Linked DNA regions of Alligator mississippiensis. The protein of the gene in region 1 purifies or fractionates together with the protein of each later gene. This does not show direct contact. Links are inferred from orthologs where the notes say so. Each region holds a gene or a part of one and is shown in the gene's direction. Other genes may lie near its edges.

Region 1 (3,745 bases):
ACATGTGACAGTAGTGGAGGCTACCCAAAACCAGAAACTGCTCGGCCAGAGCCACACTCCAGCTGCCAGATGGGTTCCCAGCTGCAGGAGCACTGCGGCTGCAGCTCCCCAGGCCCGCAGGTAAGGCTGCTGAGGCCAGCACAGTTGCTGGCCCCAGCCCCCTTTCCCCAATCTGGGGTCACCTGCTGCACACCAGAGCACATGTGGCACAGGCTTTCCCCAGGGACAAGCAGCAGCAACACAAGGTACACCACTGCTACTTGTCCTGGGGGAAATGCACATTCCCGCTCATATGGCCGCAGCCCAAGGGTGCAAACCTCCTCCGTTTTCAGCCACAGAGAAAGCCATCACCCACAAATAGGGTGGCCATCATAGAGGACGTTCCGGTTTTCTGCTACTCTGTCCTCTATTGATACAAAACGGGATGCCTCTATTTTTCTATTCAAGAGAAGCCTGAAGAGCTTCTCTACCCCAGCCATTTTTCAAGAGAAAAATAAAGGACATAAAGGCATCTGGTTTCATATCAAAAGAGGACAACCAAACTGTCCTCTATGATGGCCACCCTACCACAGAACAGCTGTCACCCTGCCTCTTACATATGTCCTGGACCATCACAGAGTGGTAGAAAATAAGGCTTGGAAGGGAGCTCGGGAAGGCATGGAGTCCAAGACCCAGCTCAGACCAGGCCCAGCCTCAACTAGATCATCCCAGGCAAGGGTTTGTCTACCCGGGTCTTAAACCCTTCCAAGGGTCTTAAACCACTCCTCAGGCTCTCCGGCCTTCAGCACCCTCCTGCTCGGAAAGCTTTCCCTCCTGTCCAGCCCCAGCTCCTCTCCCTGCACCAATCCGGACTACTATCACAAAGTAACGGGCCCCATCCCTCAGGCTGCAGACTGCCCCGCCCTCCTCCAGGACCCTATGGGGGCGGTATAGGCGGCGCACGCCACGCCCCCCGCTCAGCGCGCGGCTCCTCCCCCCCCGCCCCCTCCAATCGAACGCTGCGGCCCGCCGGAACATTCCAAAAAAAGGAAAAAAGGCAGCCTCAATCGATCGCCGAGCGCGGCGCAGGCTCGGCGCTCAGCGGTGGGCGCTGCCGGGGCCGGGCCAGGCGCGATGGCGGAGCCGGCGGACAAGCTGTATCGGGCCGAGTACGCCAAGAGCGGGCGGGCCTCGTGCAAGAAATGCGGGGAGAGCATCGCCAAGGACTCGCTGCGCCTGGCTATCATGGTGCAGGTACAGCGCCGCGTTGCTGCAGCGCTTTGTGCCGGGCCCCTTCCATCCTCGCCGGGGGGGGGGCACGTGGGTGGAGGGCGGCAGCGCCTTCCTCCGCTGCAGGGGAAACGCGGGGGGAGCGACGCTGCAACGTGGGTAATACTCCCCACCCCCCGCGCCATCCGCAAGCGCAGCTGGGGGGGGGGCAGGAATCCGCAGTGCCCCGCCCCCGCCTCGCTGGGCTTCCCGCGCTCGGCTCGGCTCTGACGTCACCGCCGGGGGGCCAGCAGCTGGGACTCCCATTGACGGAGACGCAGCAGCGCCCCCTGCTGGTCGCAGTCTTCGGAGGAAATCCCGTGGCTCGGGTGGGGGAGCATGGGCACACTGGCAGAGCATGCAGGGACACTGCCCCTGGCAGGAGAGGGGGTCACTAAGTGCGTGCCCCAGCCCTGAAAAGTGGGATGGGAGCTCGATAGCAGGTGCTCCAAAGGGGGCACTGAGCAGAGTGTGCTGCCCTAAATGAGTCCAGGCAGCCAGTGGGCACTGCCTGGTGCAACTCTGCCCAGAGCTGTGACCCTGTGACAGGCCTCTTTGATGCCTGAGTCCATTGAAGGCGTGGGCCCAAGCAGGAAGGGTTAGTCCCTTCCCCCATGCAGTTAGGGGTTGTTAAGTGTGCACCAGCTGATTTCTTGGGGAGCTGAAGCAGGGGCAGGCACCAGGGTTAGAGATTGCACGAAATGCTCCAAGGAGGGCACTGAGCAGAGCATGTTGGATGGCACTCACTGGCCCTCAAATGAGTCCAAGGAGCCAGTGGGCTCTGCCCAGTGAAACTCTGCCTGGAGACAGGACTGCAGAGGAGGAGGGACAGGAGGATGGCCCCACATTCACTGGGTGCTTTCCCAGCCGGAGCCTCCCTCCTGGTCAGGTGTATGGCCATCTTGGTGGGGCCATGGAAGGGGAGCGGGGAGAAATGCAGCCAGGGCATCAGCAAGAGGATCTTGAGGTGGTGAAGGGGCTGCAGCCTGGTGTGCTAACTCCCTGACCAGAAGATGTAAATGTTTCTGGGGTTTCTTATGTTCTGTTTACCTCGGTTTGCATCTTGGGGACTTTTGGGTGGAAACAGATGGGGGGAAGCTAGAGACTGAAACTGTTTTTAGTTGAAGTGTGAGCTGAATCCCTATTGCTGAAGAGCTGTACAGGCTTCTTACTTGTATTCCTTAGTTTTCCCCAGTGATTTAATACACTTTTTGGAGCATATTTGTCACTGACTTAATTCTTTCTTGTGACCTTTTGTGGGGGAATTTATTTTTAGCAGCAATTTGAATGTTCTCTTCCTTCCTTTGATCTCTCTTAATTGAAGAATGAATCGCCATCCTAGCAGTTCATTTTCACCCCTTGTTCATTGCCTTGTGGCTGATGAAAAGTTTACCTAGCTTAATCAAAGAGAGAGATCTCTGAGCACGCTTTTGCCACAGGACCTGCCTGCAATTAGTAAATACATCTGTCTCTAAATATAGTCTGCCCACAGTGCAGTGTAATATGGCTGCTCACTAGGGTGAAAGAATAAGAAACACATTGGAAAAATAAATGTTGACCTAAAGCTTCTGGTCTGATTTCCCCCTCTCCCTTCAACATTTCCCACCTTTCTTATCACCAGTGCGAGGGAAGGGAGTGATGGCACTGGTATAGGGACTGGACTTCTGATCTCCTCAAGGAAACCTTTTGGTCCTTTAAAACATTAGTGGCAGCTGATACCTTGTCTGCCATACTGCACCCGCTGTTGTTATTACCAGTGCAAAATTGTAAGCAGAAGAGGCTAAAGCAGCCAAGGTATATGTTTTAGTCCTGGAAATTGTGTGTGTTTGTTTTTCCCCAGACCATACAGCTGAGAGGAATACATGTGACAAAGCTGCTATAATAACTACCATGATTAAATTAGAATATTACGCTGTAGGGAAGTTAGGTTCATCTTTGCTTGTCAGGAACACTTTTTTCCAATCTTCTTGTCCTTCCATGCCTTTTCCTTGGACTCAAGTGCTATCTGTAGACAAGGGCATGACAGCCTTCTGAAATTAATCCAGTGTAAAGTGTACAGTTAAGTTTCTTATTAGAGGATTATTGTGATTTAGAGGACTCTAATAGAACACTAACAGAGAGGCTGTTTTTCTGTTTCTGAAAACAAGGAGTGGAGGGGGAAGAGATAAGGTTATAATGTGCTTGGGAATGTTGCCTGTTCCGCAAGGTAAAAATATTGTATCATTTTGTGCCCAGGCTATAGATAAGGAAGCATCTATGCAGTTTGCTGTTTGCACTTTTAGCAAAACCTTGCTAATCTGCACACTTTATAATTAAGAACTGACCCAAGTCACAGCAAGACGCAGAGTATTTTGGTTCCCACTCACAGAGTGCAGAGCTGATTTCATGGGCATTTCATGGTGGCCCTGCCTCTCACTGCTGATTGGCAGAGGGGCCCTGGCAGTGCCGCACCTCACCGCTGATTGATGGAGAGCGTCTTCACTCAGTCTGTGCCACC
Region 2 (3,745 bases), on another chromosome or scaffold:
GCAAGTACCCTAACACTTTGTCTCTCTCACCTTCTTTTCCTCTCAAAACTATGGCAAAAAATTTGGTGCGCCACACACTGCATGGTACTTTAAATTCCCCAGTAATAACTGGGCATGCGGCACTGGGTCCAGCCCTCGTAGCTTTGGGCAACGTCACCTCTAGCCCATGTATATACTTGAGTTGCGCACCCCTGGTGTAAAAGGTGGCAACCCCAGCCACACCAGATCAGACATCTGTCGTATCACAGCCTTATATACACAGCCTTTCTTCCAACATATAGCACACATTAGTCAGTAAATATAAAATTGCCTGGAAAATTGAGTGTTGGGGTACTTAAAATTTTCAGAAGTTAGTGGGTACTTGTTACATAAAAAGTTGCGAAACACTGGCCTACTGGACTCGAGGCACCTGCTGTAACTGCTGCGAAGGGAGCAGCACCCGGCCCCACCGCGCCATCTCCCTACGGAAGGGCCGGGATCGGCCAGGCCGGGGCCCCAGCGCCTCTGCGCAGGGCGGCTGCGCGCGCGCCCCCCGCCCCGCCCCGGGCACAGGCTGGCAGGAGCCGCGCGTCCCTCGCCGGAGCACGTGCCGGCAGGACCTGAGAAGACGGCTGCTTGGCGCGCCCACAGGCCGGGAGCCCCCGCGATAAATGGGCGCAGCACCGGAAGGCGGCGCCGGTGATTTCCTGTCTCCGCCGACCCCGCTCCTGCGACGCCGCGTCTCCCCCACCCCCGGCCGCTCGGCAGAGCGCGAGACCCGGCGCGGCCCCAGCGCCCTGGGCCGAGGCCGCCCCGCTTGGCCGTGACGTGGCGCGCACGCGCTACGTCGGGCCGGGTAACGCCGGGGCCAGGTCCCGTTTGAAGTTGGCGCGCGGGGCCGCTTCCCAGAATGCCCCGCGCGCCCCCACCCAGCTCCCCCCGGCTCGATCGGCTCCGGCGGCCGCGGCAGCCGCGCTCGCGCACGCGCACTGCCGCCGCCGGCCGCCATTTTGTGTCCGAAGCGACTGTGGAGCGATTAAACCGCGAGCTGGGGCTGGGCGCTAGCGGCGGCCGCGGCGGGGCGTGCAGGGCGCGGCGGCTCCGCGGGGCCCGGGGCGGCGCGCGGCGGCGACGGGGCCCGGCGGCGGGAGCGGGCCTGGCAGGGCCGGGCGCAGGTAAGCGGCGCGGGGGGTTTGCAGTCGCTTTCTCCGGCCTCTAGGTGTCACGATGGGGCTCCGGGCTGGCTGGGGCCCCGCAGCGGCCGCCGCCGGGGAAGCAGGGGGCTTTGTCTCCCTCTATCGTCCCCGCGCGGCCGGCGCCTGCCTGCCTGCTACCGCCGCCATTCCCCACAGCGCGGCGCTGGGCCCCGCCGCCTCCGCGGGCCGGCCAGGGCCGCGCGGGCCGGCCAAGGGCTCTGCGGCCTCCATCTTCCTTCCTTTGTTCCCGCCGCGGCCGATCGCCCTCGGCCGCCGCGCGGCTCCGCTCCGCTCCCGCGGGCCCGGCCCGGCCCGGCCCCGGCCTCCGCCCCCGCCCGGCGCACTGGGCCCAGGCCTCCCTCCCCGGCTGGGCCCCGCACGACACGCCGGCTCGCGGCGCGGCCCCGGCCCCTGCCCCGCGCCCGCCGCGCTCCTCCGAACCTGCCTCGGCGCCGCCTCGTCCGCCCGCGCGGCTCGGCCAGGCGGCGGCTGCGCCGCCGGCCGCCTCCGGCCGCGCCGTCTGCCCGCGGGTCGGCGGCTGCGTGTCCCGCTCCTGCCGGCCGCCGCCGCCTCGCTGCGCTGTGTGCGCTGCGGAGTGAGAGGCGCTGCGAGGCGCAGCGCGGGACTCGAGCTCCCTCTGCAAGGCAGGCTGAGCAGCGCCATGCAGCACGGGCGCGGGGACGTGGGGGCGCCCGATCCCGCCCGGCCGAGCCCCGCGCCACGCCCGGCACCCCCACCCCGCCGCGGGCCCCGCCGGCCCCCCTCGCCCCGGCTCCGCTGTCCATGCGCTGTCACCTCGGCAGGGAGCGTAGCCCTGTGCGTGCGGCCAAGACCAGGGCTTTGCCTCTCGCTTGTGACTTCACTCGATGCTGTCTGCTCCTGCAGGAGCAGGTGGTGTCCTCACGGGCCAGATTTCCCCCCCCCCCCCCCCCTGCAAATAAGGGTCTTCCACAGTTTACCTGGCACTTCAGTCATTTAAAGATCAAGTTATATGGTTGCTTTCATTTGGCTGCTTCTGTAGGCGTTCTGACATGCACTCTCCCATCGGGTCTCTGACTCTTATTTTTATTTTGTGAGAGCCAAATTGAATACCAGCTAAGCATAGGATTTGGTGCAGATTCCTTGGTTTTTCTCTTTATTTTCATGCCACTTGTTGTTTGGCTTTCACTTACTGTAGGAGATGCTCCATGTGAAACCCAAACATCTTCTAAAGTGCTCATAAATGAGCCAGTCATAGTCACAGGAGGCTTTCCTGGTAGTTTCCTGTAACACTCCTAATTTTTCACTTTGCTTGTACACTTGTGTGTGTTCAGTACTTTGACTAGCCTTGGTCACCTTTTTAAGATTTTACCCTGTGGTTCATCTTTCTTCATGCTTAACATAATGAATACTGCTGATTATTGGGCATCATGTTTCTCACTGGCAAGGATAGGTTCTTATGTCTGTTTTTAACTCTTTGTACCTATAGTGCATTTAAAAAAACAAACAATGTTTTACTTCACATGCTGTGGTTACCAGCCTCTGTAAATAAGCTGTAGAGACTGTTCAGCGCCCCCCCCCCCCCCTTCCTGATCATTGATACACTTGGTTTTCAATAGCTCACTAAGTATGTATTGCTTTTCCAGTGACTTGTGAGGTCCTGATTTTTCACTATACCTACGCAGAGTTCAGTTGAAGTCAGTGGAGCAATGGTTACAAACATCTGCGTGGTGAAATTGTTTTCAAGATCTCCTTCTCATTTGGAGCACCTTACCTTGTACGTTAGTACAAAGGGAAAATGCTAGAAGAGACTAGAAATAAACACTCAAAGCAGAGCAACAGAGAATCTTTTTAAAAAAATGATATATGCAGAGAGAGACTTCTTTCCCCCTAGCCTCTCTTTATGCTGGTGTACAAAGTAAGTGCAGCCTTGTTTCTCCTTGCTTTACTAGATGGAGGTAGCTGTGTTAGTCTGAAGTCATGCAGAAGGCACAGCTAGGCAATACCTCAGACTAACTCATTCAGAAAACATAAGCTTCCATAGTTAATGGCCTCCTTCATTAGATCTGTTCCCTAAAGAAGCATATGCCTTTCTGAATGAGCTAGTCTGAAAGATGCTGCTCTGCCCTGCCTTCTTTCTTGCTTTACAAGAAATTCAGGTCTTGTAACCATTGTCAATTGACAAGGCTGTCTAGCCAGACTTCAGAACTATTTTATTAAAGTTAATTTAACACTATTGAATATTTGGGAGAAATAATGCCTACGATTAAGTATTCCTGCCACTTCAATTTAAAAAATAAATAAATCATGAACTCTTAAGCACCTGTACTGTCAAGAGGCCCTCCAGCAAACTGGAGAAAGCTGGGCTTCGTGTTATTTCCAAAGTTGTTCCATGGGCTGTAATAAGACATATATTTGCTTATATCTTGACACCAAGCTGGAGGCATTATCTAGAATGAAGTATCCCTGCAAAAGCCCCCAAACTGATGCTATGGTATCAGCTGACAGCATTCAAGATAGGATCTTTGGCTAACTTGTGCATGTTACCAGTTAATGTTGCCCAAAGTTCATGTTTCCCTGATATCTTAGTA
Region 3 (3,745 bases), on another chromosome or scaffold:
CTGTATTAAATGCACATTAACTAAAATGCATTAATGCACGTGTAGACATGCTCACTGTTAATCTAATACAGGGAGTCCTCGGACTTACAACACAATTGGTTCCTGAAAACCGGGTCTTAAGTTGAAACCTAACTCAGAACCAATTTTCCCATAGATACAATGTTATAAATAGGGGATTGGTTCCTGAACCAAGGCCCGATGCCCTATTTTCACCAGAAATGGCCCAGATTCTTGTACTCAATCAATTATAGATGAGTAATATAGCTACATTAATGTATGTATATTATAAATAGCAATCGCATTGATTTGGAAGGACTTATTTTGAGGTGACTTTGCTGAACTTTTTGAAGGGCTCTTGGTTGGATTTTTTGAAGGGTTCTTGGCTGGAGTCTTCTCAGGAGTCTTGGATGCAGGTTTTTCTGGAGTCTTGTCTGCTTTCTTAAAGAAAGTGTCCAAGGAAGTTTGGACAGATGTTCTCCAGGGAGATGGGCGACAAAGTGAACTTGTTCGCTCGAGTGGCATCCTGTTGGATCAAGTGTCGTAAAGTCGAAATTGACGTCAGAAAGTTGAAACGGGGTTCAATTTATAAACATTTTAAGTGCCGTTCGTTGCAACTCGAAACATCTTAAGTTGAGGCCTGCCTGTACAGCCTGTCCTCTCCCCACCTCAGGAGGATACGGAATGACTCTCTATCCATGCAAATATTAGGAACCTGAGGGCCCCAGGGTGGACAGCATCAACAACGGGAGCATTGCTGAGGTCTTCTGGGCTCCACCAGGCCAGGCAATCTCCCCGCAGGGGCTCCTGCTTGAAGAAGCCCTCCCAACTACACCCCCAAGGCAGCCAGTGGAAAACCCCACCAGTGCCTGGGGGGCATCCAGCCTGCTCGGCGCTGCGCAGGTGACCTCTCCTCGGCCCCAAGCAGCGGCCACGCTCTGTGGGCTCCTTAAGACCGGTCACATCTCCCCTGCTCCGTCTCTGCCCCCCTCTCCCCGCCACGACCGCTACAGACACAGCTGCTGCCCCTTCAGCACCACAGACCCTCCCACCTACCCGCAGCGTCCCCGCTCGGGCCGCGTCTTCTTCCCTGTTGCCACCCACAGTAACGTCACCGGGCCTCCCTCGGCCCTTTCACTTTCCACCCAGCCCGATTGGCTGGTAACGCTCTGCTCTCGGTCGCCATTGGGCGGCCGGCGGGAGGGGGGGCCGCCGGCGATGCCGGACGGGAGCCGCGCACTTATTGTCTGAGCGCGGCGCGGGGCCGCTCGGGCGCAGGGGGTTGGCGAGCCGGCGCCTGGCGGGGGCGGGGCGGGGCGGGCCCGGGAGGCCTCGCGCGAAGGGAGGTGGCGGCGGCGGCGCTGCTGCTGCTTTGTGCGGCCCCGCGCCCGGCCCGGGCTGTCCGGCCCCTCACGCTGCCCGCGCCGCGCCCGCAGCATGCGCTAGGAGCCGCGGGCCGGGCCGGGCCGTGCGTGTGCTAGGGAGGGAGGGAAGGCGGGCGCGCGGCGGCCATTGCGCGCGCGCCGCTGTGAGGGCGAGCGCGGGGGGAGGGGCCGCGGCGGCGGCGTCTGGCTTCGGCCTTTGCAGCCACGCTCGGGGCTGAGGCGACGGGCGGAAAATGGCCAAGTCCGGCGGCGGAGGCGGAGGCAGCGGGGGACTGACGTGGGTGGTGAGTGTGGGGCCGCCTCTCGTTCTTCCCCCGTTTACCCCCGTCCACGGTGGAGGCCGCGGCGCCCGCATTGGGGGAGGGGTGGCGGCTGCGGGGCCGGGGAGAGCGGCAAATGGCTGCGCGCGGGACGAGGAGCGGGGCCTTGCGGGTGGTGGTGGTGGTGGGGGCGGTATTGTTCCTTGCGGCTGGGGGAGGAGGAGAGCCCAGCTTCACCCCCGGGAGGGCGCCTGGCGGCTGTCGCCTCGCGGGCTCGGGGGCGGCGGAAAGTTACGGGGCACCGGCTGCAAGGACTCGGGATGGGCCGGCCGGGGCCCAGCGGCTGCTTTCGAGGAGCTGAAAGGCCTTTGGCAGCCGCAGCAGCAGCAGGAGGGGGCGGAGGAGGGGTGCTGTCCAGGCCTGTTCAACAATAGCTCGGCTTCTGGGTCTGGAAAGCCCCCAAGGGGGAGGAGACCTGTGGGGACCCGGTTCCCACGGCTGATCAATAATTCACCAGCAGGGCTGTTGCTCGGCCTGGAGTTCAGAGTCGGGTCACTTCCTTAATGTAGCCAACAAGAAGAAGCTGCCTAGCCCCACAGTGGTTTAAGAAACAAAAAGGAAACAAACAACTTTATGAAAGGGGTACTTGGGCACTGCCTCTGCTTTACTGTGTATTGAGTTCAGACCCTTGTCCTTCTAGTAAGATGCTTGTTGTTATAATTGCTCACCTTTCCCTTCATCCTTTGCCCATCTACCACTTCACACCTTCCAGCCCTGTTTTCATCAGAGAAGGGGAGAAAATGGGGGGCACTGGAGATCCTGTCTGGGTGCTGGATGATAAGAGTTGCTTTCTAACTTCTGCTCCGCTTTACGTGAGGAACACTTGCATGAAGTTTCTCATGTTAACAGCAAACTTTTCATGTTGAAAACTGTAAATGCTAGTGGCTATTTCATTTAAAATAATGTCATTATCTAATTACATGGGGGTTTTTTTGTTTTTTTTTTTAATTGTCCAATCTAATCTTCAATGTTGACATGTTGGAGAAAGATTTAGACTCGAGTAAGCAGTAGTGATGCGATGTGTGTGTGTGTGTACGGCAAGAAAATGCCTTGGCACAGAAACAAGAGAAGGGACTATATTATTTTGATTGTCTACTTGTTTTTCTTCTAAAATAACCATAAAAATCACACTTTTATATAGGGCCAACCCTACAGGCTTGACTCCTATAAGGAAGTCAGAAATAGTTTTCAGTTGTTGGGTTTATTTTTGGGGGTTTTTTTAAGTATTGTATTTTTGTGTATTTAACCCTTTTTTGGTCTTCTGCTTGGCCATATCTTCTGTGGGTGTTTTTTTTTTTTAAGTGGGATCAGTCCAATTCGTAGTCATTGACTTTGCTTCAGGGAAAGAGGTGTGTGTCGATTTTTTTTTTCTCCCTTCCTAAAATTAAACCTGAAAATGAGGAATGGACACATACATCTCAATTATAAATCTACCATGCATGGTAGGTAGTGAAATTTACAACATTGTAACTGAACAGTCTTTCTGTTAATTCTTTTCAGTTCTAAAAAGGATGATGTTACCAGTTTCAGACACCGCTTATTATACTGCCTCCCCTTACAGGTTTAGTTTCTCAGCTCAGCATACAGATCTAGGGAGCTATTGTAAAGGTTTAACTGGACTCAGGACTTCGGTTTTCCCTCTTTGATGCTTCAAACATTGAAAATACAGCTGTCAGTGGACAAGCTACCAGAGGCACCTGTAGTGGATGGAGAAATGGGAGCATAATGCTAGGGCTTCTTTAGGGCTTTCTTGGTGTAGCTCCATGCGTTTAGCGGTGATATATGAGGAACTAACCAGACCTTGCCACTTGGGCTGATTGTCTAGATAACTTTTCAGCTTGGTTCAGCCCTGCATGTATGCTTTTTTCTACAATTGGGGTCTCTATTTAGGAAGGAAGAAAAGCTAAAATTACACATGGCAAACATGCTTAATCTATTTCTGGTGTTGTAGCACTTTTTCAGTTGATCAAAATAAGTGAAAACCCTAGCGCAGTATTCCTCAAGCTTTTTGGATTTAAGACAGCCCTTGGAAAATACCAGCTC

What was found. The genes of interacting proteins can lie anywhere in the genome.
Region 2: the proteins of PARP1 (region 1) and CTCF purify together in Homo sapiens (affinity purification with mass spectrometry; 6 studies listed by BioGRID and IntAct, with this or other methods). This does not show direct contact. The link is inferred for Alligator mississippiensis from reciprocal best matches to the Homo sapiens genes PARP1 and CTCF.
Region 3: the proteins of PARP1 (region 1) and TOP2B purify together in Homo sapiens (affinity purification with western blotting; 3 studies listed by BioGRID and IntAct, with this or other methods). This does not show direct contact. The link is inferred for Alligator mississippiensis from reciprocal best matches to the Homo sapiens genes PARP1 and TOP2B.

Annotation. Positions count from the first base shown.
Region 1 is NC_081824.1:179,591,666-179,595,410, forward strand, and holds the start of PARP1 (poly [ADP-ribose] polymerase 1), read left to right. Parts: upstream 1-1,059; 5' UTR 1,060-1,113; coding exon 1,114-1,233; intron 1,234-3,745. UniProt on the Homo sapiens protein: Poly-ADP-ribosyltransferase that mediates poly-ADP-ribosylation of proteins and plays a key role in DNA repair.
Region 2 is NC_081833.1:35,453,130-35,456,874, forward strand, and holds the start of CTCF (transcriptional repressor CTCF), read left to right. Parts: upstream 1-1,019; 5' UTR 1,020-1,154; intron 1,155-3,745.
Region 3 is NC_081828.1:146,786,231-146,789,975, forward strand, and holds the start of TOP2B (DNA topoisomerase 2-beta), read left to right. Parts: upstream 1-1,347; 5' UTR 1,348-1,615; coding exon 1,616-1,666; intron 1,667-3,745. UniProt on the Homo sapiens protein: Key decatenating enzyme that alters DNA topology by binding to two double-stranded DNA molecules, generating a double-stranded break in one of the strands, passing the intact strand through the broken strand, and religating the broken strand.